2 linked regions of the Alligator mississippiensis genome follow. The protein of the gene in region 2 interacts with the protein of the main gene of each other region in a pairwise test. Links are inferred from orthologs where the notes say so. Each region holds a gene or a part of one and is shown on either strand. Other genes may lie near its edges. The genes, in order: PDCD6 and ANXA11.

Evidence for each region.
Region 1: the proteins of ANXA11 (region 2) and PDCD6 interact in binary tests that used the Homo sapiens proteins (3 or more experiments, as listed by UniProt). The link is inferred for Alligator mississippiensis from reciprocal best matches to the Homo sapiens genes ANXA11 and PDCD6.

What each region holds. Positions count from the first base shown.
Region 1 is NC_081826.1:146,213,331-146,229,473, reverse strand, and holds the start of PDCD6 (programmed cell death protein 6), read right to left. Parts: upstream 7,523-16,143; 5' UTR 7,484-7,522; coding exon 7,413-7,483; intron 5,747-7,412; coding exon 5,685-5,746; intron 1-5,684. UniProt on the Homo sapiens protein: Calcium sensor that plays a key role in processes such as endoplasmic reticulum (ER)-Golgi vesicular transport, endosomal biogenesis or membrane repair.
Region 2 is NC_081829.1:33,906,652-33,923,325, forward strand, and holds the start of ANXA11 (annexin A11), read left to right. Parts: upstream 1-8,139; 5' UTR 8,140-8,271; intron 8,272-16,674. UniProt on the Homo sapiens protein: Binds specifically to calcyclin in a calcium-dependent manner. Required for midbody formation and completion of the terminal phase of cytokinesis.

The sequences.
Region 1 (16,143 bases), on a different chromosome or scaffold from region 2:
CCCAATTGCTCTTTCTGCCACCAAATTTCTGGTCCAATGGGCTGGATCCAGAATGTGAAGCTGTGTCCTCTGGCCTAGGGGGCTGCCCGTGGGGCTGGAAATGTAGCAGTGAGAGGAACAAAGGCTTCTGTGGCTCTGCTGACACTGCCCTAGTGCTGTGCCATGCTGCGCTGCACCACACCACCTGGCCTTGACACAGGCACAGGTGAAGCCTCCGGTTCCCAGAACATCCCTGAAGTGCCCCAGCTAGGACAGCCACATGCTGCTAGCCCTTGGCCTTATGGGTTCAAAGCTGGCCTGACTGATGAGAATAACCTGAGAAGAAAACTGGAAAGGTCCTGCAAAACCTCTGCACTAAGAACACACTAGCAGCACAAAGGCGATATGGGCAATGAGGCAGTGGCCCAGTTGGGAGTCACTGAGGACTGGAGAGGCTGTGGAAGGGAACAGGAGAGCTGCACGTAGAGATAAGATGGTCGCATACATTGTGACTGGAAGCTTCAGTAAGAACAAGTAGAAAAAAAAAAAAAACTACAGATTTGCACATCACTGCACAGAGTCAAAGCAAAGGAGCGGAGGAACTCAAGCTCCTAGTATGAGACTGAACCAGACATTGTAGGAATAATGGAGATGCATAGGAATAGTATCTATTACTGGACTGCGGTTTTTAAAGGATGCAAACAACTTAGGAGCATTAGAAATAAAATAAAGGTGGTGGGTGGCACCCTACAATGAAATGGTAGACTGTCAGGAAATAAGATGCAATGACAAAGATAAAACGGAACTCCTCCCCAGCCTAGGACTGCTGCCAGGCAGATAAGCCCTGCCCACGCGCTCCACCTTTGAAACTAGCTCCAGAGCTCATGCCATGTAGAGGCCTATGCAATGATCCCAAGCACGGTCCACAGCTCTATAATATTCAAGAGTAGCTCTAAACACATGCCCCAAGGATGGTCAGGCCTCCTGGGCCATCTACTCAAAGATTCTCCAAAACTACAACTTCAACATACAACACACTGTATGTAAAAGCAGTGGAGACAGCGGCACTGCCAATACCCTGCTCCTGAAATGTCAGAGAAGTCATTGGTTAATTAATATATGCTCAGAGGATCCTAGGAAGAGGACCCTACCCCATGCTACAGAGTAGGCCCATACTGCAGGTGTTTTGCCCTTTCTGAACAAGAGGAAACATTTTTTCCTGAGCCCATGTATGGGGATCCTCTAGCCAAAAACATGAGTTAAACATGAGTTTTAAAGTCCCGGCAGAAATATCAGTGCACTACAGACAAAAGCCTGCAGCTTTAGCTGCACCAAGTGAACCAAGACCAAAGAATCTGAGCAGTACTAGGATGCATGCTCAGCATCTCTTTGCTGCCTAAGCATGAGTGTGCTGGAGAGGGAGTGGACAGACTATAGATACTCAGCAGCAGTCCTAGGTTCATCAGGGAGACTGAAACTGAGCCCTAAGACTCTGCCTGCATATACAGTCTAATTTTTGCTCTGGGAAGGCAAGACATACAAAAACCCCATGGAATCCAAGGAGTCTACTGCCCTAAACAAATTGTGTTTGTAGTTACCCAAGTGTAATACCCACATCCCCTCTGCCTCAGTTGGAGCCAGAAGAGTCTCTGCTCAAATTTCACCTGCCTTCAATGTTACGTTCCCAATATTCCAAATATCCTCAGTCCTCTAGCAAAAAAGGGCATAGGGTCAGATAGTCATACAAAGCAACAAGCAAGCAAAGACTTTAGTCACCTTGAGTTTCTTTTCCATCTCTGAACCCTAATCACAAGTGCTTTTCTTCTACAGTCTCAAAAGAGTAAGTCTAATTACACTTACAAATTGCACCGGGGGGGGGGGGGGGGGGTGGAAAATCAATCAGCCACAGATCCAAGAATACAGTTCAAGGTCCAAACATTCTCTTTTTCATAAGAAAGAATACTGGAGAAGCAACTGTTTTCTCCCTACATCAATCTATCCCCAATTTAGTTTTAGGCACGTCCTTGCTCTTTTTTTAAAGAGACTTTCTTTTGTGTGTCAAACATATTGCTCAACTGGTCCAACTCAAAGCTTATGTTCATCCAGAACAAGGGCTCCTAACACATTAGTTTTAGCCTGTTCCAGCATCAGGGCTACGGCAATGCCAATAGCTCAGCCAAGAATTTTACTGAATAGGACTGCTGCAACAGAGGAAAAAGACTATACATGGACACTGCAAAATGATAGATCTTGCCACTTCCAGTAGCCACCAGAAAATCTGAGCAGTAGCTTGTTAGTATCAGCTTCTTATGACAGAGGAGTATGTAATATTTGTAAGGTGTTTTTGAACGGAGGGGGGGGGGGGGGGGTGTCTATGTACCACCTGCAGAGACCTCCCTGGAGAGAAAAGCCCAAGCCATTCTTTTCATAGAGTTTATGTTTTCAGTGAAATTTCTTTCTGTTTTAATTATTAGCTTCTACAATATGCTCAGCTATGAAGATAACTTTCCAAATGCGAACCAAACCTACCCTGACTCTGCTGGTCACTGGTCTTCAAGCAGCAAAGGTTGTAAAGTCGCTCTAATGTATTCACATGAACACAGCATACATTCAAATATTAGATATTGGAAACATTAGGATACGTAATTAAGAATCATTAAAAAAAATAAAAAGGACACGGTGACAACGTGTAGGTTCTTGTCACACATATTACTGTCAAGTTAAACAAAGGCACAAGCACACATCTAGACACTTAGAAGAAAGGGAGTGGATAAAACCATTGGTGACTAAAGCAATTAATTTTGTGTATGCAGAATCAACTGCCATTTAATACCAGGGGGAGGTGGGGGGAGCATATAGTGAACTATTAGGGAGCATGGTTTGTTCGAATCTTCTAGAGGATGAACACAGCATCTGAAAACGTGTGTTTATAGAGCTGACTAGCTTATCTGTTTTCTCAGTTTTCTTACTGTTGTTTAGACAGGGGTGCTCTCATTAAATTATAATCAAGAGTGAAAGCTGCTGCCGAGTATGGCAAATAGACGAGAGAAACAGTTGTGCAGAATTTAAGCTGGGAAGGGTAACATCACCACTGGAGTAGACTATGAGGAAAACAAAACTAATTTAAGGACTGATGAAGAGAGGGGGCCCAGAATCCTTGTAAAGAACAATTTAAGGTCTGAATGAAGATAGACACTCCAATTCATTCACCTATTTTTGTTAAAATGTTGTTCTGCCTTTTCAAGCAGTTTATTCTGGTGGTGAGGTTGGGGGCAAGGGGGAGCATCTATCCACTGTAATCAGAAATGGATCCAGAATTTTACAAAGGGGGATGAGGTGACTCGTGCTACAGTGATGGCTACACCCCCCAGCTCCTCTGCCATCTCCCCGACAGGGGGGCATGCAGACGACACTGTAGGAGCAGCAGTAGAGGATTTAAACCCTGGGGACGGTAAGCATTTTCCCTCCTCCCTTCCCCTCTGTGCTCAGAGGCATGTCCCCTCCCCTCCCCTCCCCACCTGCCGCTGCTGGTGTCCTTGCTGTTCTGGGGGCAATGGGAGCTCTTGTCCCACTCCAGCCAAGCTGTGCTCACCCAAGACTGCGGCAGTAGCAGGCAGGCACATTCCCCCCTCCCTGTGCCTGCTCCTAGGCTATCAGGGTACCTCACAGGCAAGGGAGGGGGAATGTGCCTGCTGGATACCACGGTCCCCACTGAGCTTAGTTACTGCCTACCCCCCCACAGCCCAGCTGGAGTGGGCAGGAGCTCCCCTTGCCTTGGGGACAGCACAGACCTAGCAGCAGCAGGAAGGAGAAGGGTCATGCCTTTGAGCATGGATGGAAAGGGAAGGGACAAAATTCTTATTTTACGTGAACCTTAAGTCCCGGAATGGTGCTCCTGTGGCATGGTCAGAAAGGGGTTAAGGGCACACCAAATCATCCCCTCTGGATCCACCCTCAATTGTAATCTTCTATCATGCAAAATATAAAACCAAATTCTTTCAAAAACAATAAATACAGGTTATAATGGCACCAGATTTGTAATGGTAAAACCCACTGCCTGGATATATTCCTAAACAGACGATGACTGTTAAAAATAATGTTTTACTGATCTTAGCACTGCAACCCAAAACATCACTCAGACTCGACTCACCTTCCTCACAGACAGGTTGAGCAGAAGGGATGACAGAATTAAACTTTGCAGGGACCTCACATGAAAGGAACTTGGGAAGCAATGAGGAGCTACCCAAACTCAGTGTCTGTGATTTTCCAGAAAAAAAGTAAATTACTAAAGAACAACCAGGTCCACTCTCATAGCATTACATGATCAGTGAACTGCAACAAAAGTTAATAAAACAAAAATGTTTAACAAGGATACCTGAACTTCACCTTCAGATCACTGATAAGCTTATTATAATCCCTATCAACGCCTCAACACAAGTGATTTCATGGTGGCTAGGAAGTCCTAATAATAAACTAGGGAACTGCTGAAGAAATGGCTTCTGGAAGCACTGATTACACTTTTCCACCTTCCTCTCTACACAGACATTTATCTGTGTATCCAGTAAGAAATTAATCAGCCAGGACTCTTCAACTGGTGGCCCACATCCAGCTTGCAAGGGGTTAACGTGCAGCATACAGGCTACTGGGTGCTGGGGCCAACAGCATAACGAGAGGGGGCCCAGTGAGCTCACTACTCACATGTGGTGAAGGGAGCTTGATGGCTGTGCTGCCTATCTGGTGGTGAAACTTTACGCTTCAGGGGTCCTGGGAGCCCATGCAGTGTTCAGCTCCCATGGCAAGTGGCCTAAGGCCTGTGACCAGTGCAGTGTGCCACCCCTAGTTAGCTGTTCCAAAGTTGGACAGCCCTGTCATAGAACCTCAGTCTTCTTACCATGCTCACTGCCTGCATCATGATATGCCACAGATTACCTGTTCGGTAAAACCAGTTGGAGGTACTCCTGCAAAATGTCCCTGGGCTACAGACTGATTAAGAAAAGGGAAGGGCATGTTCAGAGATATAAGTAAATATTTTGTATGAAAACACAAAGCTGCTGGGAGGCTATATTAATATGCTTTTCCTCTCGTATAACACAATCCAATTCCCAGAAACTGGGCTTGTTACGTTGCTACCACTTAAGTACATAAAATGACTAATAAAGAATCTTTAAAAAGAAAAAGAAACAAATCCAACTTCCTTCTTAAGGGTTAAAAATATATGTATATGAGCATGCAGGGTCAGAAAGTTACAGGTTCTTTACCTGATAATCTCTTATGTTCTTTTCAGTCCTTCCTGAGAGGATTGCTCTTACCTCTTTATTCAGATCATCAGTTTCTTTTGTACAGTAAAAGCCCTGTTATCCGGCATTCGACTAGCCAGAATACTCTACTAACCAGAATTTCTGGCCAGTCAGCTGGCTGCGAGGGGTGGGCAGGGGAAGCTTGCAGGGAGCCACTGCCACCCTATGCTGTTGTTACTCCATTGCAGCCACTGCCACCCCCTGCCCCCGCTTTGCGTCCAGCTGGAAACCCCTGTGCCTCAAGTAACCGGCATGTTCAGATTCCCGGCACCCCGCGACTCTCAACTTATGCTGGATACCAGAGCTTTAACTGCCCGTAGAAAATAACATTTATTATATAATCCAAAAAGCAAGTGAGATATTGTACTCAACTTTCAATAAAGTACTTTTGGATGGAGCTATACTTACCATTGGATAATGCCTGCTGAAGTTCCATGTCAGATATTATTCCACTCCTGTCTTTATCAACCCTGCAAAAAGAATTTTAAATGTTTCCATGTCAAATTAACAAATTCCACTCTAGAACCTGAAACGTTCAAGAAATTCTCTCAAAGAAAAAAGTTTTCAATAATAATGTTAAAACAGCAAAAATTCAATGAAGCACAAAAGCCCTGATTTTGCACGCTTAATGCATGCGTCTAATTTGAAGTCAGAGTGACTATGGTTGTAGCAAAACTACTCCCAAATGGAAATATTTGCAAGACTGGGACCCCACATTTTCAATATACAGGATAAGGAAAGAAAAAAATTCAAAAAAAAAAATCTGGTATTTTAGGTACAAAAATACAGTAAGTATCTTAAGGTTACCATAAACCTAAGGCTTTTGCTGCACCATGGATCAAAGACAACACAAACAGAAGTAAATAATTATCACTGTAAATAAGTAGTCATGGAGACCTCATCACATGACTGTCTTCTGCAGACCACACCTAATGAATTCAGTATAATAATGAAGAGACCATTTCATTATAAACATACAAGAGATAAAAATTGCCAAGAAAAAGGAGGAAGATTATTAGAGTAAACCAGGTTGAGCATTAACGAACACAGAGAATAACCTTTAAAGAGGTATTTTCCTTTAAATGAAAAAGAAAAAAAACAATGAAAAATTATACCATAGTCACAGATTTTGGTATAAGATTCTTAGAAAATAACTGGGCATCTTTAGAAAAACAGAACATGTCATGCTTGTTAAAGGCTACAACCACAAACAAGCCCGGACAGTGCAATAATACCTAAACGTGAGGCACCAGATGCCAGACTGGAGGCCACAGAAGTGAGTTCGGCACAGAGCCTTCCTACAAAATGGTCTGTAAAGAAGGAGGCATCAGGCCAGAGTCCACAGCATCCACGTGCTGAAGCGCGCAATGCAACAGAAGGTGTCACAACACTTGCAACAACGTAGGTGCCACCGGCCGCACTGACTCTATTAGAAGGCAATGTTTCTCCCCCCACCCCTCATTTAACATGGGGGAAAAAAGCCCTTCACCCTACAGCAGAGCATAAGGCAGCAGGGGTCAGGACCAGAGCCAGAGCCGCCTCTGCACACCCAGCCACTCTTACCCTGCAGCCCCTAGTCCTGCCCCCCCACGCCACCTCTCCCTGCCCCGCACTGCCCCTTTCTTCTGCTGGGCTCCCTCCCTGCTGCAGCCTGGGGCACGGAGCATGTGCCCAGCCCAGCCCCTAGCAGCACTGCACCCACACTCCTGCTGCAACAGGAACCGAGCCTGCCAGCAGGAAGCAAAGGGGGGCGGGGGGGAGGAGGAGGAGGCGGCGGCAGGGCAGGCGAGGAAGGCGGACAAAGGCCCGAGACCACAGGGGCAGCAGCAGCGCGGGGAGCGGAGCCAGGGGCAGCCCGAGGCTGCAGCGAGGGCAGGCACAGTGGGGAGGCACACGGTGGCAAGCTGCCTGCCCCATTACTGCGGGCGGCGCTGAAACCTCCCTACAGCTTTGCCCCAGGCGCAGGGAGGCGGCGGCGGCCGCAGCAGCCCCGGGCACCGAGCGCCGCTGGGGGCGGAAAAGGCGGGGGGCGGCCCCCCCGGCAGTCGCTCCCCGCCCGGCCCCGGGAGCCTCGACAGCTCTGACGTCACGCGGACGAGGCCGTTAGCCAGGGAGTTGGGGGAAAGGGGTGCTCACCGTTGGAACACGCTCCACAAGAAGTTGGCGTCCGGCGCACCCGGCCGGTACTGCTGCCCCATCGCCGCCATGGCCGCGCGCTGCCCGCCTACTTCCGGCCGCGAGGGAGCCACGGGGCCAAGGCGCGGCGGCACTTCCGGGACGCCTCGTCCCTCCCCTTCCGCCCCCAGCCGGGGGCGGGGCTTGGTGACGCCCCGGTCGTGACGTGAGTGGGGCGCGGTCTGGCTCTTGCCCGCGGGTGGTTCACGCCCTCGCCGCAGGGGTGGTTGTCGCCGCCCCGGAGCCCGCGCTCCACGAGGGGCCCAGGAGACACGGCGGCTCATGCCGTTCTCACCCGAGAGCAGTGGCCTGGCGGGGGCGCCTCCCGGGGGGACGGGGCAAGGGGCAGGGGACAGCCCCCGGCGGGGTCGTGCTGCTCCGTGGTGCGGAGCCATCCTGAGAAACGCCGGCCTCTCCCTGTCCCTCCTCCCGACCCTGTCAGCCCCCCAGCCACGGCCCGCGGGACAGGGACCACCCGGGGTGGAGGCGTCACAGCCTGCCCCCGCTCTCTCTGTCCCGCCGGGTGACCCTAGGAGCAGCACCCCGGGGTGAGCCGTAGCAACTGTGGCACGTCAGGACGGCGTTGTTTCCTGGGTGCAGGCTACGAGTCTCGAGGGAGCCGAGACCTGGCTGCGCCTTGCTCTGGTTTGTCCTCGTTTCAGCTTCTTGCAGCAACGGGCCTGAGCCAGAGGCCTCGCTCAGGTGCTGGTGCCCTGAGGGTGGTGGCGCTTGGGCAAGCGAGCGCTTCGTTTCTTGCACGGGGGCTGCTCCGGTGGTGGTGCAAGCTGCTGCTCCCTTGGCACAAGCTCGCCGAGTGAGCACGGGCTGCTGGGGCGGCAGCGGTGCAGGTTCCTAGGGGCTGCCACTTTGGTGCCCCTCAGAATCAGCTCCCAGGGCTGGTGTCTTGTTCATTCCCCTGCCCCTGTTCCCCCTATTGCATGACTACATCCTCGCCAAAGTGTTTTCCTACCTAAGCTTGCTCTTGCAGTGTTGAGAGCCTTACAGGATATCATTGCTGCTGACAGTTTTGGGCCCCTGAGGAGGCTGGCTTTGCTATAATGAAATGCACTTCAGCCCTCAATAGAGAACCCTCCTCTGGCTGATTGCCTGTCCTGCTAGCCTGCCTTCTGGGATACCTTGGCCAGTCGGGGCTCCTCAGGGGGAAGCAGCTCTCCCTCCTTGCCCTGATGAAAACCCAACTTGCATGCAAGGATGATGGAGAATGCCAGTGCAGACCACTCCACTCCCCCATCTTCTCCTCTCCCGTGAGCCCTGGGTCAGGTAGGCTCATTCGTGCTAAATGAGACCTGAGAAGGAGTATGGGGGGGTTCAGTGGAGCACCTTCCTAGCCTGGGGAAGGATGGGAAACACTCCTGAAACTAGAGGCGCAGGGGGAACAGCAGAGACCATAAACTGAACTCACTGCAACAGGGCTCTGCAGCCCATAGCTCGTGGCTTGCACTTGAACAGGGTTTCTCAGCCCATGGGTTGTGACCCAAAAGTGGGTCATAAGAATATATGAAAGGGTCGTGAACAAACTTTAAAAGTGGATTCTCCTTTAAAGGAGAAAACTCTGGGAAACCATCTTTTTCTTTGCAGGCTGGCAAAGCTCCAGGCTGTGAGGTGCTGCTTGGATGCCTCCCTCCCCGCCCCCCAGCCCCATTCACACCCCTCCATCCCACACACCCACAGTGGAGGGCTGAAGCTTGGGGGAGAGGGGCAGCGGGTCAGGAGTGAGGGGCACTGGGTCAGGAATGGCCACTGAAGCTTACAAATGGGTCCTGGTACAAAAAAGGTGGAGTACCACTGGTCTAGAACATCCTTGTGGAGAAGCAGTGCCCTCCGGCTGTGCTGGGAGCTGGTATGGGAGTTTTGTGTTCAGTCCCTGTGGGAGCTGGCAGCCTGGGAACTGTCCCCAGTTATGGAGTGGGGATTTCAAAAAGCAAGAGCTTAAAGAAGTCATAATACTGAAGAAATTTTCATTTTTTGGGAGCCAGGTGTAACCTGGGGGGGCTCTGTACCCTAAGCTTTGAATTTTGGCGGTGAGTAGCTGTGAATTTGGCAGCATCCCTTTCCCCAGCACCTGAGTAACTCCAGCCCTTGGGGGAAAGTGGCACATATTAGAGATGGGTCAGAGATGATTCAGACCCTCATAGGAGGGAGTCCCAAGCTTCCTCTGGTGACACTGAGGTCCCTAAAGGGAGCAGAGATCAGGGCATCACCACTGTTCTTTTCAGCCCTCCCTACTGCCAGGCCAAGACAGACTGGTCCTCAGAACTGGGTGTTTCCTCCCTGCATGCAGCTCTCCCATGCTGCTCTTCTGCTCGGGCAGCTTGGTCAAACTCCAGCCGCTGTATCTAATGACTCAGAAAACTGTTTTATCTGCTGGCTCTGAGAACTATGTCTCAGTTCCAGGGTGCTTCCGATTCCCCTCTGATTCCAGCTGGAGAATGTTGCCATCCCCAGATGGCATTGTCTACTGGCTTGAACGCTCCACCCTTGCTAGGTGGCACCTCCAAGTTCTCTCAACATGTTCTTTGGCCCTTTGTGGCAATACTTACTGGTTGAGTAGGTTCCTGACCTCCCTCTCCAACTCCCCTCCAGTGTCATGGTCACCTGTTTAGGATTCACCTTAGCTCCTGAATAATGCAGCCTCCCTCTACCCTATAGAGTTGACCTCCTGTCTCTGCCTCCTCTGTCCTTTGTGTTGAGTTTAGCTACATGGGAATTAAGTTGCAAGCAATCACAAAATAGAAATGGCAGCCTCTACCAGTCCACCTGTTTTCCTAAAACTATTTATATTTTTCCTATTTTTTCCTAAACCAATTTAGCACATGTGTATCGTCTCTGGCGCGACTTTCCGAAACTCTCTGTGGCAAGTTAGGCAAGCTGAGAGAAAAGAGAATGCTCTGGACAGAGCGTGTGGTATCTTCTTAAAAAATGAAGATCATTTTCTTGGAACACTGGCAGCTGCTGCTGTGGAGAAAAGAGAAATGTCTTATAATACAGAAGAATAAATCAACGGTCTCAAAAGGTCATTTAGTCCTACCTTCCTCAAGAGACAAGGCCCTCCTGTGGACAGGATTTGATTCTGTACAGGGAAATGCATTTGGATTTCCAGTCCAGTCGTGTAACCACTCAGGCATTGCAGGTACTCAAAATGTAGGTGTGTGTTAAGGTGGGGTACTGATATCCAACGTGGCTGGATCTTCTACTGTGACTCAGCTCTGTACAATTTAGTGCTTGAAGACAAGAAACTCTCTCTCTACTGGAATGCTGCATGTAAAGTGTTAGACAGAGCAGCAATGATGGTCTCTGGGTAGGTCAATGAATGGAGATTCAGGAGGCCTAGTGTCAGTCCCGGGCTTGGCCACAGATTTGCTTTGTGACCATAGGTACAGCACCTAATTTACCCATGGTGTCACTTCCCCATACATACCTATATCAATTCCTGCTTCCACTGGTAAGAAGGGATCTTTCACTTCACCATCTTCTGAGGCTGATTCCACCTGGACCATGGGAAGAGTAAAAAGAGTCAGGTTGGATTCTGTTTGATCTGTGCTCCTCAGGATTACACAGCCACAGAATGAGGGGCAGGCAGCAGTGGTGGGGCTCTCTTCCCAGCCACAGTTCCTGGTGATGCCATGAATGACCAAGTGAAGTGTGGGTCAGTGGATGGACTGAGGCCCCCTTCTGTCCTACATTCTGAAGTCGGGCATGCCACAGTCTTTCGTACAGAAGCCTCAGCTCAGCCCCTTCCCCACCTCCGCTACTTTTCCTCCTCATAATGTCTCCACAGTTTCTCTATGCTTCCCCCTCCCTTGGGCTGTGTGAGTATCTTTCCTGCCCAATTCTGCACTTCCTAACACATGCAAACTCCTCATAGAGCTAGAGAAAGTACAAAGAAAGGCAATCTAAAGGATGCAAGGAAGGAAAGGAGAGGAAGCACTAAGTCTCAAATGTACAAAGGGCTTCATAGATTAGAAGGGCAGAGAGAGACCAGAGCGATCAGTTAGTTTGATCCGCAGTGAAACAGCCTGCAAAACTTCAGCAAGTGCTATCAGAATCAACCCAAATAATTCCTGGTGATGCTCCAGCCTGTCTTTTAGAAATGAAGTCATTTCAGACGAGGGACAATTTATCACACCCCTGGGTAAGTTGTTCCTGTAGTTAATAACTTGTTGCATAACAAGAAAATAGTGTGCACCTTGTTCCTAAAACAAACCTGTCCAGTTACATCTTCCAGCCACTGCATTCTCTTCTGCCTCTGTCTGGAAGACTTAAGAGCCTTTACCAATTAGAAACTTTCCCTAAATAGAGATGCTTTTAGCCCATGATCAAATTGCTGATAAACCTCTTTTTTAAGTTGAATAAGTAGAACTTTATTAGTCTCTCACACTGAGAGAGGTTTTCTAGACCTACATACCTTCTTGTAACTTTTGTGAACCCTTTTTAGTGTATCAACATTCAGTTAAGCATGAACATGAGAACTGGATGCAGCATCCAATAAGGAGTTAATTAATACCATAGACAGTGGTAATAATGCCTTCATACTTGTGATCTACGTTCCCTTTCAATACATCCAAAGATTTCAATACCCTTCTTAAGTAACAATTCCTAAGGTAATGTATTACTTTATGTGATGTCCATGATTTTATGCACATGCTTAAGTCTGCAAGATGTGGGCCTAGGAAGGCTATATGCATCACAGGTAACAACTAGGGTGTTCTCTGGGTATAACTAGGGCATTATAGACATTTTGTGGAAGACAGTGGGGTGGGGGGTGCTTAAATTAGCACGGCTCTGAAAGCATCAGTGTAACAGTGTCCAGAACATCGTGCATGGGCGCCATTTTTCAGTGCAGGGACCTTGATACATGTGACACTGGAATCTGCTGGAGTGCAGTAATTAACAGACTCCAGCAGATTCAATGAATCGAGTCTGCTCCAAGACACTGTAATTACAGCACATTGGAGTGGCCTCCCTTCATGTATATAGATTCCACTAGTTTTTAAGACATAATACATATGATAGACTGGAGTAAAGAAAGAATAATTAGGGTAGAGGTTAGAAAAAAGCACTCAGTCCTACTCCAATTGAAGCCAGTGGAAAAATACCCCTTGACTTCAGGGATAGTAAGATTGGAGCCAGAGATCTCAACAGCTAGAGCAACTGGGCTGGGGAATGGATTCCACTGCACACCTAAAGGCAAGATCTGTGTAGAGGTTACAGAGCAGAAGTTAGAACTGAATGAAATAGTGAAGAGCCTGCAAAATGCAAGGACTCAGCTGGGGGAGCCAAGAGACTTTTGGTAATCCCAGGAAGTTGGGCCACAAAGGGTTTTACAAGATATTGACCTCAGACATGTCAAAAGAATCTTCTGTATCCCACGCCTGGTGTATGGCAGCACGAATCTCTGTAAACAAAAACACATCCAGTCAGTTCAACTGGGACTGGTTTCTAGTTTTACGTCTAATGTTTTTAGATGTTGTTTTAGCATCGCTGCAGAACAGTGTCCTGCAAGCTTGTGTTCCAACGGGCCTGTCTAGGCTGCACTGTACCCCAGCAGGGAGTGCTGCAGTGAGATGCACCATGCCTGCTTCTGTGAATGCCACCTTCCCAAACTGATGCAATGTAACCACCCACTAGTGTGGTACTGGCTGCATCCAGGTCTAACTCTTGGGTGAGCCTACTCTTTCTCTCTTTATACTGTCTTATAGCTGGGTATATGATGTTGGTTACCTCGTTCACAGACCACATCATTATATCTGTCATTTTATCATTCATTTCCTTGGCCTTGTTTCTCTGTAGCAGGAACAAATGAGAGGGGACAATAAATGTGTTTATTAATTCCTCTATTCTCCCTTCTTTACATAGCAACAGCTGTCTACTGGGTATGAATCAAACATTTAGCATGAACAATAACAGTCACCCATGAAAAACACTCTGTGTATGACCAGAGCCTTCTGGACAGGGTGGGATATAAATCAAATTAAATATAAAGATATAAATAAATAGCCAGTTCAGGAAAGGTCACTGAATGACAAGTTAGGATAAGCACTGTATCCCCCTGAACACATTTCTGAAGGGCCAATGTGCAGTCTGGCCTCCTTTAGCTTTGAAGACCATGGGAGAAAATTCTGACTACCTTGAAGGCCAAGGGAGGTTTTTCAAGAAGTTTGTCACTGACTTCACCAGGGCCAGCATTCCCCACCTTGAGCCTAGAGGTGACCTAGTTTTGCTGGTTTACCCTGTGGCAGAAAGCCACCTTTGTTTCCCTCCCAAAAACTCAGCTCTGTGACAATTTTAATTAGGATGGACCCAGCCGAGAGAGACATCCTTACCTTATCTCTTTAGGTAACCTGAGCTGGATACATTCCTGAGGGAGGGGGGAAACCTGCTCCCTCTGCCTAGGTGACTAGTATCGCATAGGGGGGTGAGGGGCTTCCCTCCTGGTGGGCTAGAGTCTGCCCGGCAACTAGTGATGTATTTCAAATTGGTTGGCTGACAACCAACAGGTGCTGACCTCCATTGGACCAGGTAAATGAGGTCACAAGGGCTATATAAGTTAAAGACTGCCCGGGACGGGGGGAGGGGGGGCAGCAGCCATGAGGGATACTCGGGAACAAAGAAGAACTGTACTATCTGAAACTGGCTCTCACTCTCAAAATTCATGATCAAAGAACTGCTTGCCTCCAGAGGGACTCTCCACCTGCCTCTGGATGATACTTGTGAGTAAGCTACCTGAGATCCACCTAGATCTATAGCTTGCAGTAACTCAGATGCAAGATCAAAAGCTACCCCAGCCACAGGAGTTTGCTCTATGGGATTTCTCTGATATTGCTCTACCCTGTACTCTATTCTAACCCTACCCTCTGTAACCAATAAAGTTCTCCTTTGGACCTAGTGTGGGATACTTATTGGGAGTGGGTCTAGATTATGCCTTGGGGTCCCCTTGGTTCGGCAGACTAAGGGAGACCACTACTTGTGCTTCTGACTGAGGGAAGCATCCCAACTTCTTGAAGTGAATCAAGTCCCCTTGAGGGCTACTAGGGCTGTATTTCCCAGAGCGCGCAGAGCCCGAATTAAGTCCAGAGTTCTGGGAGGTGGCAGTGGAAACCCCAGGCTAGCGGGTGTGCTCCAGGAAGGGGGTTGGCCAGACATGAGGCGCCCCTAGGGAGGCACTCAGAGCCTGGAAGGTGGTTGGGCGTAGGGAGGTGGGTGGCTCAATGCAGGAGCGCACCTATTACAGATGTCAGGCAGGCTAGGATTTGGATGTACCTCTGGACGCACTCTGTGGAGTGGACCTTGTGTCCAGATAATCTGCCACTTGCTGAGTAGGAGATTACAGCACATCTCACTTCCATGTTCCATATCTGACCAGGTGCTAAGGCCTGCTGTTGGGACTGTCTCTAAACACCCCCAGAGAAAGCACTTGTCAACCTGTTCATTTCTTCACAGGGAAGAAAATCAATTCACTTGCAGACCTTTTCTCCATCTCATACCAAATCTCCAGGGCTCTCTGCTCTTCCATGGCATGAGGCATCTGAACACTACGTGCTCTGGAGCTTTTATGGTTTTCAAGAACAGCATGGGAATTTGCTGATTAACACCCCCAGCCCCTAGTGGAGGAGGTAAACAGTTTTGCCTCCATCTTCCAGATAGCAGAACAGGCTCAAAGCTACTACCAGGTAATGCTGAGTGGCATTACTAAGAACACCTGTCTATTTTGACCACCATCTTCTTTCTTCCATGACATGTAGGTTTTAAAATAGTTACTGACTGTACCTTCTTAGTTTTCTTCCCTCCTGCTTTTCCTCCGTCATTCTTTGATTCCTTGGGAGTATCTTCTCCCATTTTCATCCAAAGTGATGTATCTTTTTTTCTTTAATACCTAAGGATCACAAATGTGTCTTGTTTTACCCGAAAGAAATAAATTGTGTGTTTTCCTATGTAAGACAGGTATGACAATCTTTCTGCTGCTTCCTTCTTTCCTGTCAGATACCACTCCCCTTTATTCACATTGAGCTAAATCCCTCTCTATGTAGCACCCACACTATTATTTTCCCAACTTATTCAGCTCCCACCCCTCTCCGGTTTTACTTGTCAGCAGAAAGACTGCTGGCTATGGGCTGTGATGAGAGCAACACAACAGCATTCAACAGACTGTCTCTTCCTGCACCCAGCAACCTGCTCAGAATCACCGACTGCAAAGCACCGTGTCTTGACACCTATGCCACAGAGTCCTGTTAGCTCCACTTTTTGTGAGCCATGGATTTGGGGGTTCAGTTTCTCAGCCAAGCCATGGCTCACTCTTCTTGCAGGTACAATTCCGCATCCTGAAATTATCCTCTTGCATCTGGTTTGTTCCTACAAACAGCCACTGGCACAGATCTAGGCTGCTGATTACCTTACACAATGAACAGTACATTTTAAAATAGACCTAAATGTTGGGTGTAAACTACTTGCAGGCCTGGGGGTCATGTCCTGGGCTTTGCTACAAAAACAACCATGCATAAAATGCTTTGCCCCCTGATTGTCTGTGTCTATCTCATTTGAATAAAAGCCATAGCCTTCCTTGCAGTAGGGTTTGGGTATTGTAGTCATAATGGTCCAAGCCATAATCAAGACTTGAGATTATTTTAGTGACATCTTCTCTTGGATCAACTGTGTAGTTGGGAAAGAATTCCCC
Region 2 (16,674 bases):
GCTGGGCTATATTTTAGAAAGTGACAGTAAAGTTAGTGGGACTATTCACATAGGTACTAACAAATTAACTAGTAAAGGCCAAGTAATTTGGGTCACAGTTATAAAGTGGGAGAGGGATATTACAAACTATATGACAAGTAGTATGTGCTTGCAGATGGATTTTGAGGTAAGACAGCCAGTAAGGCAAAGGGATGGAAGAAGGTTCCCAGATGACAGATTCCTGGATATTTTTTTTCTCTCTTTTCAAAACACTTATGTTTTCAGGTACCCTGTGAGAGTACCATCTGCTAATGGTCAGGGTACTGCATAGACACCTTCTTTATACAAAGTGAATATTGAATCCAAATATTAAGTGAACTTTAAGTGATCCCATTCACCATTTTTCTTTTTTCTCTCTATCCACTTTGGAAACTCGTTGCTTTGAAAAAAGGGGTTAAACTTAAGAAACATGAATTAAGAGAGTTATGCCCTATAGCATATTTTGAAAGCACCAAATGCCTCTATGATGTTTACCCTACCCTAAAATGCTTTGACATCTGTTGGTAACTAGGTATGCATTATTATTGTAGTATGTCTCAAACCAGATGTTACAATAAGCCTTAGAACTGTCTGTGGGTATTAATTCTTGACAATCCATGTTCCCAGTGAATAGTCTGTCATCCAGCTAATTTAGTATCTGTGGTCTCTGCATGGTGCCTAGACAGTCAGAAATTTCGGAGGCTTTTTGGAAAATGATAGATAATCAAACCTAAAATATTTGGTGGAATAGCACTGGTTAAGCCAGCAAGGGTATTGGTTTGTCCAAAGATTATGTTTTGGAATAACTGTTTTTTGCAGGTAATACCAAAACTTTCTGTGAACCTTATAAACTAGATCAGGTCTAGTGTTGGAGCTGTTGCTTCTCCAGTGGCTTCTCTTCTTTTTCTTTTCTGTGCTCTCTGCCATTTTCAAACACACAACTCATAGTTTCTAGGGTTGGAAGGGACCTGAACAGATCATCAAGTCTGACCCTGTACCCTGGGCAGGAACGAGTGCTGGAATCATAATACCCCAGCCAGATATCTATCCAACCTCCTCTTCAAGACCCCCAACGTAGGGGAGAGCACCACCTCCCTAGGGAGCCCATTCCAGATCCTGGCAGCCCTAACCATAAAGTAATGCCTCCTGATATCAAGCCTGAACCTGCCGTCAATCAATTTATGGCGGTTAACCCAGGTGGTGCCCAAGGGAACAGAGCCTCGCCTATTTTCCGCTGGTGCCCCCTGGTGAGTTTATAAACGGCCACCCAGATCCCCTCAGTCTTCTCTTGCGGAGGCTGAATAGATTCGGGCCCTTTAGTCTATCTTTGTAGGCCTGGCCTGCTGCCCCCTAACCATGCGAGTGGCCCTCCTCTGGACCCTCTCAATGCTAGCCACATCTCTCTTGAAGTGCGGTGCCTAGAACTGGACACAGTACTCCAGTTGTGGTGTGACCAGCACTGCATAGAGGGGAAGGATCATCTCCCTGGACCTGCTTGTGATGCATCTGTAGATGCACGACAAGGTGAGGTTAGCCTTACTGACTGCTTCTTTGCATTGGTGGCTCATGTCCATCCTGGGGTCAACAATGACTCCAAGATCCCTTTCAGCCACTGTGTTGTTGAGAAGGGTGTTTCCTGGCCTATAGGTGTGTTGCTGGTTCCTTCTCCCTAGATGTAGCACCTTGCACTTATCTGCATTGAATTCTATTCTATTCTCATCTGCCCACCTCTGTCACCTGCCTAGAACTAGTTGGATGCTGTCCCTCCCCTCCAGTGTGCCCACTTCTCCCCACATCTTTGTGTCATCAGCAAATTTGGACAGCGTGCTTTCCATGCCCACCTCCAAGTCGCTGATAAAGATGTTGAATAGCACAGGCCTGAGGACTGAGCCCTGGGGAACTCCACTGGCCACATCCCTCCAGGTCGAAAACGACCTATCCACCACCACTCTCTGGGTGCAACCATTAAGCCAATTTGCCACCCATCTGACTCTGTAGGCATCAATGCCACAGTCGTCTAGTTTTTTTTATGAGAATGGGATGAGAGACAGTGTCAAAGGCCTTCTTGAAGTCCAGGTAGACGACATCCACTTCAATGCCTGCATCCAAGGACTTTGTGACCTGGCTGTAAAAGGAAACAAGGTTAGTCAGGGAGGATCTGCCCTCAGTGAACCCATGTTGGTTGCCCTTGAGCATTACCTCCAATGGTGGGCCCCCACGGATGGGTTCCTTGATAATTTTCTCAACGGTCTTCCCAAGGACTGAGGTGAGACTAACTGGCCTATAGTTACCCGGGTCCTCCTTTCTCCCCTTCTTGTAAATGGGGACCACATTGGCCCTTTTCCAGTCCTCTGGGACCAGAGCACCATGAGAGCTCATACAGCTGTGCCAGGAGCCCTGCTATGACCTCCACCAATTCCCTCAGTACCCTCAAATGAAGAGCATCTGGATCTGATTTATACACGTCCAGTCCCTCCAAGAGTTCCCTAACTAGATTGTCGCTGACCCTAGGCATGGCTTCGTGTCCCCTGAACCTGTCCGTAATCCTAGTGGGGGAGTTGTCTCGGTCCCTGATCAGAAATACGGAGGCAAAGAACTTGTTAAAGAGATCAGCTTTGTCCTTTGCTGCAATCACCAGATTGCCAAGCCTGTCCTGTAGGGGCCCTGTGTTACCTGGTGCCTTCTTACTTCCTATGTATTTGAAAAAGGACTTTTTGTTATCCTTAATTCTGGTCGCCAGCCCTAGTTCCATCTCTGCTTTGGCCTTCCTAACAGCCTCGCTGCAATCACGAGCAACGGAGGTGTAACCCTCCTTGGTGATTGCCCCTTGCTTCCACTGATTTTATGCCACCTTTTTTGCCCTCAGGCAAAAACTCCTTTTTTTCTGTTAATTATTTAGCTTTACCTCTTGTTCACCAAAAATTGATGCCTAACACGCAAATGCTCAACACCCACACACCATGGATTCTACAGAACATAAAGGCTAAGTACACAGTCAAAAAACCTGAGGCTGAATCAATTCAGTCTTTGCAGGTTAGTCTAAGCTACATAGAATAAATTGAGAAACAACTGGGCACACATTCACTTTTGATTCAAGAAATGCAGCCAAATGCCTGCAGTAGCTTAGGCCAGAAGCCAGGGAGTGCTAGAGCATGGCTCTTTGGCACATAGCCAGCATGGACTTTATAGTCACTTCCTCTTCCTGCTGCCCCCAAGGTCTCTGGGATTTGCAGTCCAGAATCATAGAAATAAGACTCTACAGGGTTCTCATTACTTCCTCTTCCTGCTTCCAGGTGCTTCTGGGATTTGTAGTCTGCAGTTGCAGCCAGCAGTAACTTTCAGTAAGTTTAGCAGGGCAGGGCAGAGCAGCTCTGTATTCCTATCCCACACCTTCCATGCATACCTTGCCTGCACATGCCTATAACTTAAGCACTTGCAATATGGATACACAGTCCTTCCAAGGTGCCATACTTGGCTTGCCATCACATCATTTTGAATGTGATGGCCATCACATCAATTAAGCATATTTTTGTTAGGGCCTTCCAAAGCTCCTCAAAATTGTCATTAGGCCTAATTAGCTTTCACAATATTATAGCAACTGCAGATTTTCCCCCCTTGTAGATCTTTGCCTTTTCCAGCTGATTTATAAATGATAGCTAGGGATCCTGGTTTTCTCTGTTTAAAACACCAAATTCTCTGATAAAAATCCAAAATTCTCAGATTTAAAAACCTTCAAGTCAGAGTTTTCCCACGATTAAAATGAAACGCCACCATATGTATAGGTATCAGTTGAACACAATATTTTTTTGATATATTTACAATTTTAAAGCAATTTGGAAGTCCACCAGTGCCTCCAACAGAAGTTGATCACAGCGCAGCGTTTATTGACCTATCTGCTGCATATGATACCATCCAACACTACATCATGATCTACAAATTGTACCTCATGACTGACAACTGAGACCTAAACTAGACCATTCATAGCCTATTGGAGAATAGGTGCTTCTGTGAAAAGTAGATGGTGCTCCCAAAAGAACGGTTTACTACAATGCAGTATGCACACCCCTTTTATTCACTATCTACATTAATGATCAGCCACATCCTGCTGAATGTCAGCATTTCACCTAGGGTTGTTGATTGTAGCTGTGTTGGTCTAAGGACATAGGCAGAAAAGGTTCTTTGGGTAAATGCAATCTCTTTTATTAGCCCAAGTAAATAGTTGGAAAAATTGTTCTTTGCAAGCTTTTGTGCACAAACGCCCTTCTTCAGGCATACTCTCCTTATGCCTGAAAAAGGGTGTTTGTGTCAACTATTTAGTTGATCTAATAAAAGATACAGCATTTCATCTGTGCTGATGATCTTTGCATTACGACACAATGGAAGAATGTTGAGAACACAGAAAAGATCCTGGAGAGGGCACTGAATGAGATGTCAGTTTACCACCTAAACAAGTATCTCAAACCCATCCCTAGCAAAACTCAAATCTGTGCTTCTCATCTGAGAAACTAGGATGCAAAATGACACCTGAATGTCACCTGACAACAGTCTCGGACATTAGAAATACCCATTTTACGTAGGGGTAACACTGGACCATACACTTAATTACAAAAAGCACATATCAAATACCAAAGCCAAGGTCAACAAATGAAACAAAATCCTGCATAAGTTTGCAAATTCCAAGTAGAGAGCACATCCACCCTTCACACTACTGACTTAGCACTTTGTTTTTCTGGGGCTGAATATGCCTGTACCACCTGGGGATGCTCAAGTCAAAGTAAACATATTGACACCACCTGAAATGATACATGCAGAATTATAACACACTGCCTAAAATCCACCCCTGTTCCCTGCCTATGTGCAGTCTCTGGGAGAGCGGGGGCGGGGGGAGGAGGGGAGGGATGGGGGCTCTTGGCAGAGCCCCCCATGCAGCATGGGGCAGTGGGGAGCAGCGGGGATTGGCCCTCTGCCTGGCAGCAGCTAGTGAATAGGGGCTTTTTTTTAAAGAACCGGAAGCTGGGGCTGGGGTGGGGGGAAGCCATTGATGGGGCTGGGATAGCAGGCGGGGATCAGGGGGCACTCAGGGGGGCTCGGGGAGCAGGCAGGGGATGTCCCCCCCATGGTCCCCTTCCCCTCCTCCAGCCCCCTCCTCCTACTTACAGGCATGAAGTCTGGGTCCAGTTCCCTGTGACAGCGAGCAGGGACTGCCTGAATCTCCAAAGCTCTCTGAATCTTTTCCAAATTGAGTCAAACCTTTTTATTGGTCTCCTGATTCAATTCAGATTCAGAGAGTCAACCGCCAAATCATTCCAAATCTCCTCTGAATCAAGTCAACACCCGAAGCTTTGCATAGCCCTACTCAGCAGCCCTGATATGCCAGCACCCTTCCCATGCCATTGCCCCCCAGCTCAGCTGGTGCCCCTCACTCTGGACCTGCAGCCACCTGGCCCTACTGGTGCCACAACCCATAAGCCCCTTTCCCCTCCCCATTCCTGCCAGTGCCCCTCCCTCCCAACCTGCACCCCCCTGCTACTGCTAATCCCCTCTGGGACCCTTCACTCCCAACTCACAGTCCCCTATACCCCCTCAGCCCTGCTGGAGGGGCTCTCCCAGCTGCCAGAGCTACAGGACCCAGCAACTGCATCATACCAACTCTCTGCTCCGCAGGTGGCCAGCAGCACCTGTGTCGTGGCAACCATGCACAGGAGGTGGTAGCTGCTGTGACTGGAGTGGAGCACAGAGCCTGGCCCCTGGCTCCTGCCCCCTCCATGGGTGGCACAGCTGCAGCAGAGCCAAAAGGAGCCCATGGGGGGGTTGGGGAAGGTTCCAGGCTGCCTTCTGCAGGGCTCAAGGCTCCCCATCCCCCTGGGGGCCTCTGTGGTTCAGCAGATAGGACCCAGCACAGGAGGGCGAATTGGGGTGTGGAAGCTCAGTGCTGCTACCAGGAGCCCTGTGCCAGCTGTGCTGCCATGGCAAAGCACCCCCTGCTCACTTGGCAGCAACAGGGCTGGCAGCATAGAGTTGTGCTCCCTTCCGCCCCCTGCTGCTGCTGGGTAGGCAAGAGGTGCCTCACCTTGGCGGCACAGCTGGCATGGAGCCTTGCCACCCACCTGTGCCGGATCCCATCAGCTGGGCCTTGGAGTGCACAAACCTGGGGAGGTACATGCCCCCTCATGCTCTCCTGATGTGTTGCCTTTGGCGCCTGAACCCTCTTAGGTGTGTGTGCATAGGGCCATAGTAACACTTTAGTGGACCCTAGGCAAACAAACTTGTGGGCCCCAGGCCGTTAAGACCCCCCTCCCAACCCCAGCGCTGCTGCCCATGGGAAGCAGGGCTTGGAGCTGCCGCGAGGAAGCAGTGCCATGGGAGTGAGGCTGTCGAAGGGGAGGGGAGGGGAAGGGAGGCTAAGGGAAGGGAGATGGATGGGGCTATTCCCCACTGCTGCAGGGGGAAGGACCGGGCCCTCCACAGCTCAGGGCCCTGGGCATGTGCCTAGTTTTGCCTATGCGTTAATCCAGCCCTGTGTGTGCAGCAGTGGGCAGCCAGGCCTCCCGCTGCCTCCCAGAGGAGCTGCCTGTGGCTCTGTCCCTCTCCCTGGCTGGGTCATGGCTGTGCATTCTTGCCTTGGCTGGGCAGTGCACCCAGGCCCAGCTGCCAAACCTGTCCTACTTCCTCTCCCACTGTGGCCACCTGAATCTGCCCCCTTTGCCCCATCCACACCACCTATGCCCCCTCCACCCTTCCATGTGAACGGACCATATCCCCCCTCCCCCACCCCACAGACTGACCTGCAGGCAGTTGGGGGAGCTGCTCTTCACCATTGTCTGGCTGTATTTCTGGCCATGCACACGTATCTGTGTGCACACATGCATGTGGCACCCCCTGCATCCCACTCCCCGCAGACCCAAGCAGCCCTCTAAAACTCTGCTGGCCTGCAGATTTTCCATGACAAAAAACCCCCCGGATCCCTCATGATAACCACTAGCCACTCTGTTTCCAGCTTTAGGCTACCTACCTAAGGGTGCTACAGGATGCAGCACAGTATTAGAATATTAGCAATGAAAATGGGTTAGGGGCTGGGAAACATGACTTATGAGAAGCTGGGGGAACTAGTCTTATTTTATCTGAAGATGGAAGGGGGATTTAATAACAACCTTTAAGTACCTGATGGGTGGTTACAGATGATGGAGCCAGACTGTTCTCAGTGGTGGCCAAAAACAGGAAAAGGCAATGGTCTCAAGTTGCAGCAAGGGAAGTTTAGGTTAAGTAGGAAGAGAAAGTTTCTCGGGCAGGGGGTGGTAGTAAAGCACTGGAATAGGTTCCCAGGGAGGCTGTGGAATCTCCTAGAGGTTTTTAAGATCTGGCTAGACAAAGCTTTGGGTGGGATGATCTAGCTGGGGATGGTCCTGCTTTGAGCAGGGGGTTGGACTAGATGTGACCCCGAGGTTCCTTCCAACCCTAATTTTCTACACAAGAGCAGACTATTCTGTAACCATCTACACAATTCACAAGATCAATGCAGCAATTTTGAATAGGAATCCATAATGTCAAAAAAAATCCAACCACCCCAAAACCCCATTCTGACCCCTTGTGGACCAAGAGAAGAATTGCTTTATTACTTTTCTGTGGTCAAAAACTGAGGAAAAATGTAGAGCTGGGGTTTTCAGAGGAGGTGCCCTGACTCTGAGCCATGGATGGCTTCATCTAAACCCAACGAGAGCCAAGAGCTGTGCCAATTTGACAGGCTGTTTTCTTGTTTGTTGGCTTGTTTTGGCTTTCGGCCTTTCCTCTCCCTCTGCTTCAATTCCAGGCCATGCTGGCCCCGCCCGTCTCTACTGGTCTCTCGGGAAGGACCAATACTAAGAGGCAGAAAGAAGTTGGTTCCCTTTCCCCAGTCCCTTGTTGCTGGCCCCGGCTCCTTTTCCAGAGCTGCTCTTGACACATTTGTGACGAAATGGCAACTCCTGAGCTCGTCTCATTCAGTCATGACGAACAGCCTTTCATTGCGTGACGGGGAGCTTGGAAAGAACCGGGAAGAAGCAACCGGGAACAAAGCCCCAGCCCCAGCCCCAGCCCCAGCTGCCCCGGGGCCGGGCACAAGGGCCCGCCGGGACAGCAGCTCGGGGCGGGGCCGGTTCGCCGCCGGGGCCGGGCGGTTTCGGGGCGGGCCTCGCTCCTCCCCGCCTCCGGGCGCCCGAAATAGAAGCGCGGCCGCAGTCGCAGTTGTAGCAAAGCGGGCCCGCGGCGGCGGCGCAGGTAGGACAGAGCTGCGGGAGGGCCGGGGCCGGGGCCGGGGCCGGGCGCGGCGGGTTCCTGGGCTCGAGCCCGCAGGCACCGCTCGGGACTGCGGCGGCCGAGGCGAGGCGAGGCGGGGCTGCGGGAGGTGCCGCTGTGCGTGGCCCGGGGGTGCGACACCACCGAAAGGCCGAGCCCTGCGGAACGGGGTTGGCCGCCGGCCCCGGCCCGGGCCCGAGAACGGCTCCAGCCCCTGGCGTAGACCAAGGCAGGATAGTGGGCACTGGCATCCAAGACGGGGCTCATCCCGCCTCCGCCGGCTGCTGCGGAGTGGTGGGACCGCCCCGGGGCTGGAGCCGGGACACGGGCCGCGGTCGCCTCCGCGGGTTTCCCAGGACGGCTGTCCTTGGAGAAGAAAACGCCGGGCTCTGCCTCCCCCGAGGCGCTTCTTTGTAGCCCGCGTTGCTGTCGCTGGCCAGTGTGAAAATGAAACCAAGCGATCTGGTGGCGTACTTTTCTCAGCTACGTGAAAAGCAAGTTGGAGGCGTCGTGCTGTTCGACTTGGAGCCACACACGCTTGTCTGAGTGCTTAAGCATCAGTGCCTGCAGCTCAGGAAAGGCCCTTGTGCCCAAAGGCCTGTCTAGCCCCTCTGCCAACTGTAGGGCCGGTCCAATAAAAGATATTGCAGGAACCTCCTTGTCTCTTTGTATTTCCTGGACCATCACAGCTACAACCACGCTGTAGCCTGGAGGACTAGTGTGTGCTTGTATTGCCACTACTGGAAGTCCTCGTGGGTTGAAAGCAAGCATGCACAGAAGCGTGTTTTTGCAAGATGGCCTTTAAGAATACTGTTTGGATAATGATGTCCACCTTATTTTTTTTAATTGCATATTTTTATGTACTGTGAAATGGAAAAAAATGCATCAAAATTACTTCCTGATTTCTCTCTGGAGAGGAGAAAGTGAGCAGTGAGAACAGCTTGTACTAGGAAATAGTTGTTTTTCTCTACTAGATAAGGGAGTTCCTGGAAGGCCTTTTTTTCTCAGAGTGAAATATAAAAGGCATGGATCTAGTCTCTGAAGAGGAGGAATGAAAGTGCTGTATATAGAAGGGAGGGAAAACTGCATCAGACACAATATGTAGGGAAAAAGGTCTTTCTCAGAAGGGAACGGTGGGAATAGTATAATGATGGGACTAGGCACCAGTATTTCTTTGTCTGGCCTCCCAAACCTCAGCTGTTGCAACAGTGTGGTGGTACATTCCTTTCCCTCCTCTACGTGCATGTTATTTTCTGCATGACAAATCAGTCACCTCTAGAGGAGGTCTTGTGCTATTGTTACTTGGTGCAATGCTGTCCCTCAGCTTATCAGCCTGGTGATTCTTTTGTGATAGGCATAGCGTAAACACAAAGATTAGCTGCTTCTCTATCTTTCTTTTACCCCTTCAGCTCTTTGTTCAAACAAAGGCTATTTTCCTTTTCAAAATAAAGTTTGGAATCTTAACATTATTATAATGAAGCCACATCATCATGCTTTTCTTTCCAAGCTGCTTTAAACATGATTACCTTGATATAGTAGCTCTTATGTATATTGCAGTACAGTTTGAAAGCTGTACAAAATGTAAATAAAATAATAATTGCATTGATATAATCATCAACAAGAAATTTCATAATCCAAGGTGTGTGTGTGTTTATCCATGTCCTCCCCCACCCCTGGACTTAAGATAAGACCTGATGGTTTGTCTTGGGTGGTTAGGCAAGATTTATAGACTATAAAGTTAGGTACTAATTTCCTTACAGTTTCAGTGCAGGTTAATTGCCCAACTCAACTGCTTTTGAAAATCCCACTCCTTAGGCCTTTACCTGGTAGTCACCCAAAGGTGTACATCATGGGAGCAGAAGGTATATAAATGCCCCAAGTCACTAAAATATATGAAACCACATCTAGGAAGAGTGCTGAAAGTTGTCAAAACACCACAACGTTAATGGGAATATGGTTAGACTGTAATAGCAGAAGACTACTTCAAGAAAATTGAAGAAGCATGCAAATTCAGGCCTCAGCTCTTCGTGTGAATCCAAGTGTATGGAATATTTTGTTTGCTAGTCCTTAAATCACCATGTTAAAGCAGAATTAGCCTGCAGAGAACCATTTACTATCTCTGCATTGGTCAGAGTGATCAGGGATGAAATTTCAGTGGCAGTCCTGAGGTGCAAAGAGGAACCTGCAGTTAGAGCACAAATACTAGGCAAAGTAGACAGTAGTTTGACAGATTTGAGTGTCATTTGACAGTGGTCAAGCAGCTGGTAGGGCAAATATGCCTGTATGTGTTACCCTGGCTTCCCAATCCCACAGGTGGGACACCTTCTGTTAGCCTCAGGAAGATTCATAAATGGAGGTTATTTTCAATTGTGTATAAAAATAACTAAGAAAATCAATAGTTTCTCCTTTGTTATTTATTTCCATATTGCATCTCTTCAGTCCTACCATAGTACCCTTGTTGAGAATCACTGGTCTGCACCATAATACAGGTCAGTCGCATCATACGCACATTTAACTTATGCGAATTCAACTATACGCGGGGTGGGAGGGGGGGCAGGGCGCCCCCCCTCCCACCATTTGAGGTGGTATAAGGGTTATGTCTTCTGCTTTCTTGTAACTACACTTTTCCTGTTTACAAAACTTATGATCACTATGAAATGCATGGCTGCCTGGCTTAAATACGGTCAAGCTGGTTCTTGTAAGTCGTTGTTAAAGCAGGTTGAAGGCTGACTACCTCTGTGTTAAAGTAAGGACTTAGCTGATCAACAGAGAAACAGCAGTAACCCTTTACAGTCCCTAGTGAACAAAGCTCATCCATTTATTCTGACTACTTAAGATGTACACTTTGTTTATCGACTTCCTGAACAGTTCAGTGCTTGCGGTAATTATGTGGTAAATGTTGTTTTATTGCTTCTTAAAAAAGACAGTGGACTTAAGTTATCTGCACAGTTATACAGTGTCTTTTCAGCATGCTATTGCCAGATACGTTTATCCTGTTACAAGGTACCTTCAGATGTCTTTTACTGTATATGTTCCATAAAGGTAACTTCTGTGAAGGTCTCTTTCGGCTCCCATAAATAATCTTCTGTCCCAGTATTTGAGGTGCTCTCGTAGAGCTAGGGATGAGGTGGTCTCGTAGAGCTATTACACTTTTCCTTTACTTCAGTAACCTGTGGAACAGAAATGCAGTACATTTGCAGGGAATATTTTGGAAAGCTTTTCACTTACTTGTCAAGATGAGGTGGGAAATGCCTGAGCCGCTGTCCCACTTGTGGAGGGAGGCTGCTGCTTGCTGGGCACCTTAAGTCATGTACAGTAAACTAAGTGGAGGCTTACAATATATTTGGCTATTGTAGTTAGGAATTTTTCTGGATTTTACTTTAGAGTACTGTAAAGCTTACAGTATTTTTCTCCAAAAGCATTTATCAGTGCTCTTTAAAAGTCAAACTAGGAGTAATTACATTTGACCCTGCTTGTGTTAAATATGAGAGTGCTTTGTTCTTAAGTTGTGGTGGCCTAGTGCCTTTAAAAAATAATGTTATAAACCTCAGAGGAGTGAATGGGGTTAGAAAAGAATTCAAGATATTTATAAGGGTGCTACTCATCTGTGCTAAAACAATTTGACCTGATGTTACAATTAAATATGAACTTTTCCGTTCCATATATTCTAAGTTCTCATAAACCCATTCTGATATCACATGAAGCTTTTTTTTTTCTTGTGCTAATATCTTATTAATCTTGCAGTTATGGTTAAAGCAAATAGAAGGCAGGTTAGATTTGCCTTCTGCCGAACTTCAGATTAACACAGCTAACTGCCTCTCCCTGTTAAAACAAGTGTCTGGTGTATGCATTGTAATATTTTGACTAGCAATAAAATATTTCCCAGTGAACATCCTAAGGTTTTTGTAAAGGAAAACACTCAGGTAGGAATGGTGATGAGCACAAAAGATGCTCTTTGAAAAATAAATCTGGGGTTAGTGGATGAATTGTCATTAGTAGGAAAGTTAAAAAGCTTATCGAAAAATGTAAAGGAGGGCTTTAAGTATTTGCTGTCTTTAATAGTATGTCAAGACTATTTAATATACCCAAAAGGAAGAAGGATTTTTGCTAAAGAATACAGAACAAAATGTTGAGGAACAAATGTTAATTGTGATTTAAAAAAAAAAAAAGAAGTCAGATATTTGGGGTTAAGAGTGTTGGCAGCTCCAGGGATCACTGACTACTCCATGTCATATTGTTTCATTTTCATCTTTCTCCCTCCATTCACTTGGAATCCTAATGCAAATTCTCAGCTTAGGATAGCTAAAGCGTACAGACATTTGTTTCTTTCTCTTTATTACCCCTTTATGATATGAAGATTTAATGCTGATGGGAATCATTGTTCTCCTGGACTTGATCTTGCATTTACTGATGAACAGAAAGTTATGTGGATCTCCATGCAGTATCTTAGTCTCTGTAGAGCAAGGATGGACAATTAGTTAGGCCCAGGGGCCACATAGGCTGTTTTAGTGAGCTGTAGTGGGCTGCTGCAACAACTCACCAAAACTCCTTATGTAGGACGGGGCCCCAGGCAGTAGTGTTCAGGAGCAGGAGGGGCAGGGTAACAGGGCGGTGACTCTGTGGGGCTGGGCCCAGGGCAGAACCATGATCTGCTGCCCACATGCCCTTGCGACAGTCACGGGTTTTGTGGGCTGGGGACAGAATTGCTCCATGGGTCAGATCCGGCCATGGGCCATATTTTACCCGCTCCTGCTGTAGAGGATATGGGTCTCACAGGGTGTTGACTGCAATACGTGTGAAAATATGTGCATTACTTAACCAGCATTACCTCACTTGGGTCACCAGGCAACCACTGAATAGATCACAACTTTCAGTCATTTACCAACTGCATTCACTATGATATAAATGTAAACATAGATGGGACATGCTGTCTTTAAAGAGCTGTGATACAAATCAGTTGAATTAACTTGTTTAATCGGAACTAGCCTTTGGAACCCAGTAGTAATCTGAAATCTCCTTTGAACATTTTTTCCCACTCGTGTAGTGACTTGTAGGGGATAAGTAGCAATTTCAACAGAGATGACTTGAATTGGTGTGGGGGTGGTACACTATTTTCTCTGTAGGCTGATAAAATAAATCTTTACTGCCTCAAGGAAATGGAATAGGTTGGAAGCAGCATGTCACTTTTAAAAAATGCCAGAACTACGGGTTTCTCTCTCTTTCCCTGTCATCCTTGCCTTCCTGAATGATCATACCCTTGCTTCAGTCATGACAATTGAATGCTGCAAGCAGAACTTCAGTATTTGATACGCTCCCACTCTTTCAAGCCAGCAATACTCAAAATCCAATGCTAATTCCAGCAGATCTAGGGCTCACTCTAGACCCATTGGCTTTATTTCTTTCCAGTCCCTTCTACCTCTCTAAAATGGTTGAAGTGCTGTAGAGACCAAAGGCAGGGTTAGGAAGTAGGAAGCTTCTGGGCTATTTTGCATCTAAGGAGGTCTGAAAAGACATTGGTTGGGGGAAGTGGTTGTAACAGTGATGAGGGAGAAGTTCCTGCAGCATCTCTGGTTATTGCCTTAGCATGCAACTGAAAGGTGGGGAGAGAGCAATTTTTAAATTATCCCCATTAATGGGCTGCAGTTTTGACTATTGCATTTATAAGGCAGAAGCAATTTATGGGTAACTAGTTACTAGTGCTGATGATGCTTCTTCTGCTTTCATGTCCCAGTAGCAGGTCTTAGCAATGTGAGTGGTGAACAGATCTGGGCCAAGTCTGTCCATTTGTACATGCTTATTGTATGCTTTGAAAAAAAGAGGTCTTTTCTTAAGGAGTGCCTTCCAAACCAAGTGCTTGTGGTGCCACATGATTCACAGTGTGTGCAGATTCCCCCTCTTTAGGATGGCTTTAGGTGAGCCAGTGTAATAGTTTGACCATGGCTGTTTCCTACTTGAGAAAGGGAAGAAGAATCCTAGTTGGTATACATGTGTGGTGTGGTGGTTGTTTGTTTGTTTTTTTCTTTCTTCTTCCTTTAAAGAGGGAGGTTTTTAGCAGCTGTCTGAGATTAATGCTAGAATAAAAAAGCTAGTAATTTATAATATCACAGAGTTATTTAGGCTTTTATAAATCAGGGTTTTTTTAATTCCTGAAAAATGTTTTTTCTGCTTTTGATCTAACAGTGGAAGTAGCTGTTCATTCATGATACATCTGGCTTTACAGCACTCCACTCCCATTTTTATTTCTGTCACATAAGATGTCATTGTGACTAAATAGGAAATGTTTTACTGGTTGCCTCTTGGATGCATTGTAATGTTTAAAGGTAAGGAAACACAATATAAGCCCAGCTCTGTGTAACATGCTTTATTTGTGTGGATCTATTTTATATATTGTCATATAGGTTGAACTGAAGCAAAATCCTTTGACCCTAGCTGACTTCCTGCCTTTGGGGCAGGGGGCTGGATTTGATGATCTCCTGAGGTCCCTTCCAGCTCTAATGTCTATGAAATCTGTGAAAATGGCTATTCATTTGGTTGAAAGTGAAAGTAAGCACTCTTGATATATGAAAGAGAACCAGGTGATAGAAAATGTGTTATACCACAGTGCTTCCTGAACATTGCAAATCATTATTATTGATGGAGTTGTAAACTTGTTTTATATTTGCACCCAACTTTCTCCTTCTGTGTTTAAGTATTTCTGAGACCTCCTTTTTTAGTCTTCATTTGTATGTGGTAGACTTCTGATTAGGTCCTGGAACCATGCCAGTGGAGACATTTTACTTGCACAGAGGGCATCAAGGTTGAAATAATTTTGTATTTAACTTTCATTTCAGGGCATTAAATACTGAAATTTGGAATGCCAAATACTGAAGTTGATTGGAGTGTGTAAAGCTGTAAAATGAATATATATAATTTCTGACTGCCATTTTTTCTGCTGAAACGTATCATAATGGATCATTTTCTTCATCCAGGAGCCTGAACCTAGATTTTTTTTGTGCACTTCTATAATATGGCTTCTGCCTCTTAAACTGTAATGGGAAACTCTTTATCATTACAGAGGTCTCAAATCATCAAGTGGTTCCCACATACATCTGTATTGCAGACATACATTGCTGCTTTAGATACCTATTTGCGTACTGACCAGATTCATATACATACATTTGAGGATAAGTATTGGTCACATTCCTTTAAGAAAGTACAGAGCTCAGTAATGTCTTTTGGAGGTGCCTCTTGAGGAGTCTTCGTACTAAGCTACTACGTGGTATAGGCGTGTATTCTTGCTGTTTTGACCTTGTTTTGACCACAATTTGTCACTGTTGCTTTTTGTGATTATTTTTCCCCCAGTCTTGTTTACCCAGCCAGGATAAAAATATTGCTTTCCATGGAAGCACTATTATAGTGTGTTACCAAAATAGTCAACTTTAAAGGTGTCCATTACTACTGATGTTGCTTCTGCGCAAGCAATTTAAATGTCATTGAAAAGAGTTAGGCCTTTTTGAGAGGGGGAGGGGAATGCAGCTTTTTCTTTATTTGTCCTCATCTCTCAGCCTGCTGAAACTGCCTTTATGCAGGGAATTTCAGGTCTCAATGAATGACACTAATGTTTTTGAAGCATGATTAAATATAGTGCTCAATAACCTACTTCTTGTATTGAAACCAGAAAAGTACCCACAGAGAAGCTGTGAATAACATGGGCTATTCATGAGAACTTTGCTCAATTTGTAATTAACATAAGACCAACCATGTTTGCTTTTACTGTAATGTGATGCAAACTTTTATTGAATTAGTTTGTTCCTAAAGTTAAAAATAAGAGGGAGTGGATAGACAGACAGTTCTAAAGGGCTTTAGGGAACAAATACATTAAAGGCATTTTTATCTTATGTATGATGGACATAAGTCTTGACCTACATCAAATACTATGTTCAGCAGTATGTCAGCCAGCCAATATGAAATCTTTCTCCAGCATGAGTTCAATCACATTTAGCTACAATGATGCTGATCATGGTTTGTCTCAGTCTACAGTGCAGCCAGTGCTATCAGCATAGTTATCCAGTTTGGCTGTCTCAACAATTTTCAGACACACGAAAATTTTGTAGCTTATATTAATGGTGGTACATTTTTTTTTCTGTTCGATATACTGTTCACCAACCCATTACTACATTAGGAGATGTGAGTAGCATCTGTCACATGTGGGATGGGAATTGTGCGTGCAGCACAGTGTTTTTCTTGAACCTTGTTTGAGGACTTTTTTTCCCTGCTGCTCTGAATCTATTGGAGAAGGCAGGTCAGAGATATATGCCTTACATAAAGAAGGAAGTCAGGCTTGTTATGATCCTAATTCCTGTTGGAATTTATTCCAACTATTTTGAGCTGTCACAGAGATGGATC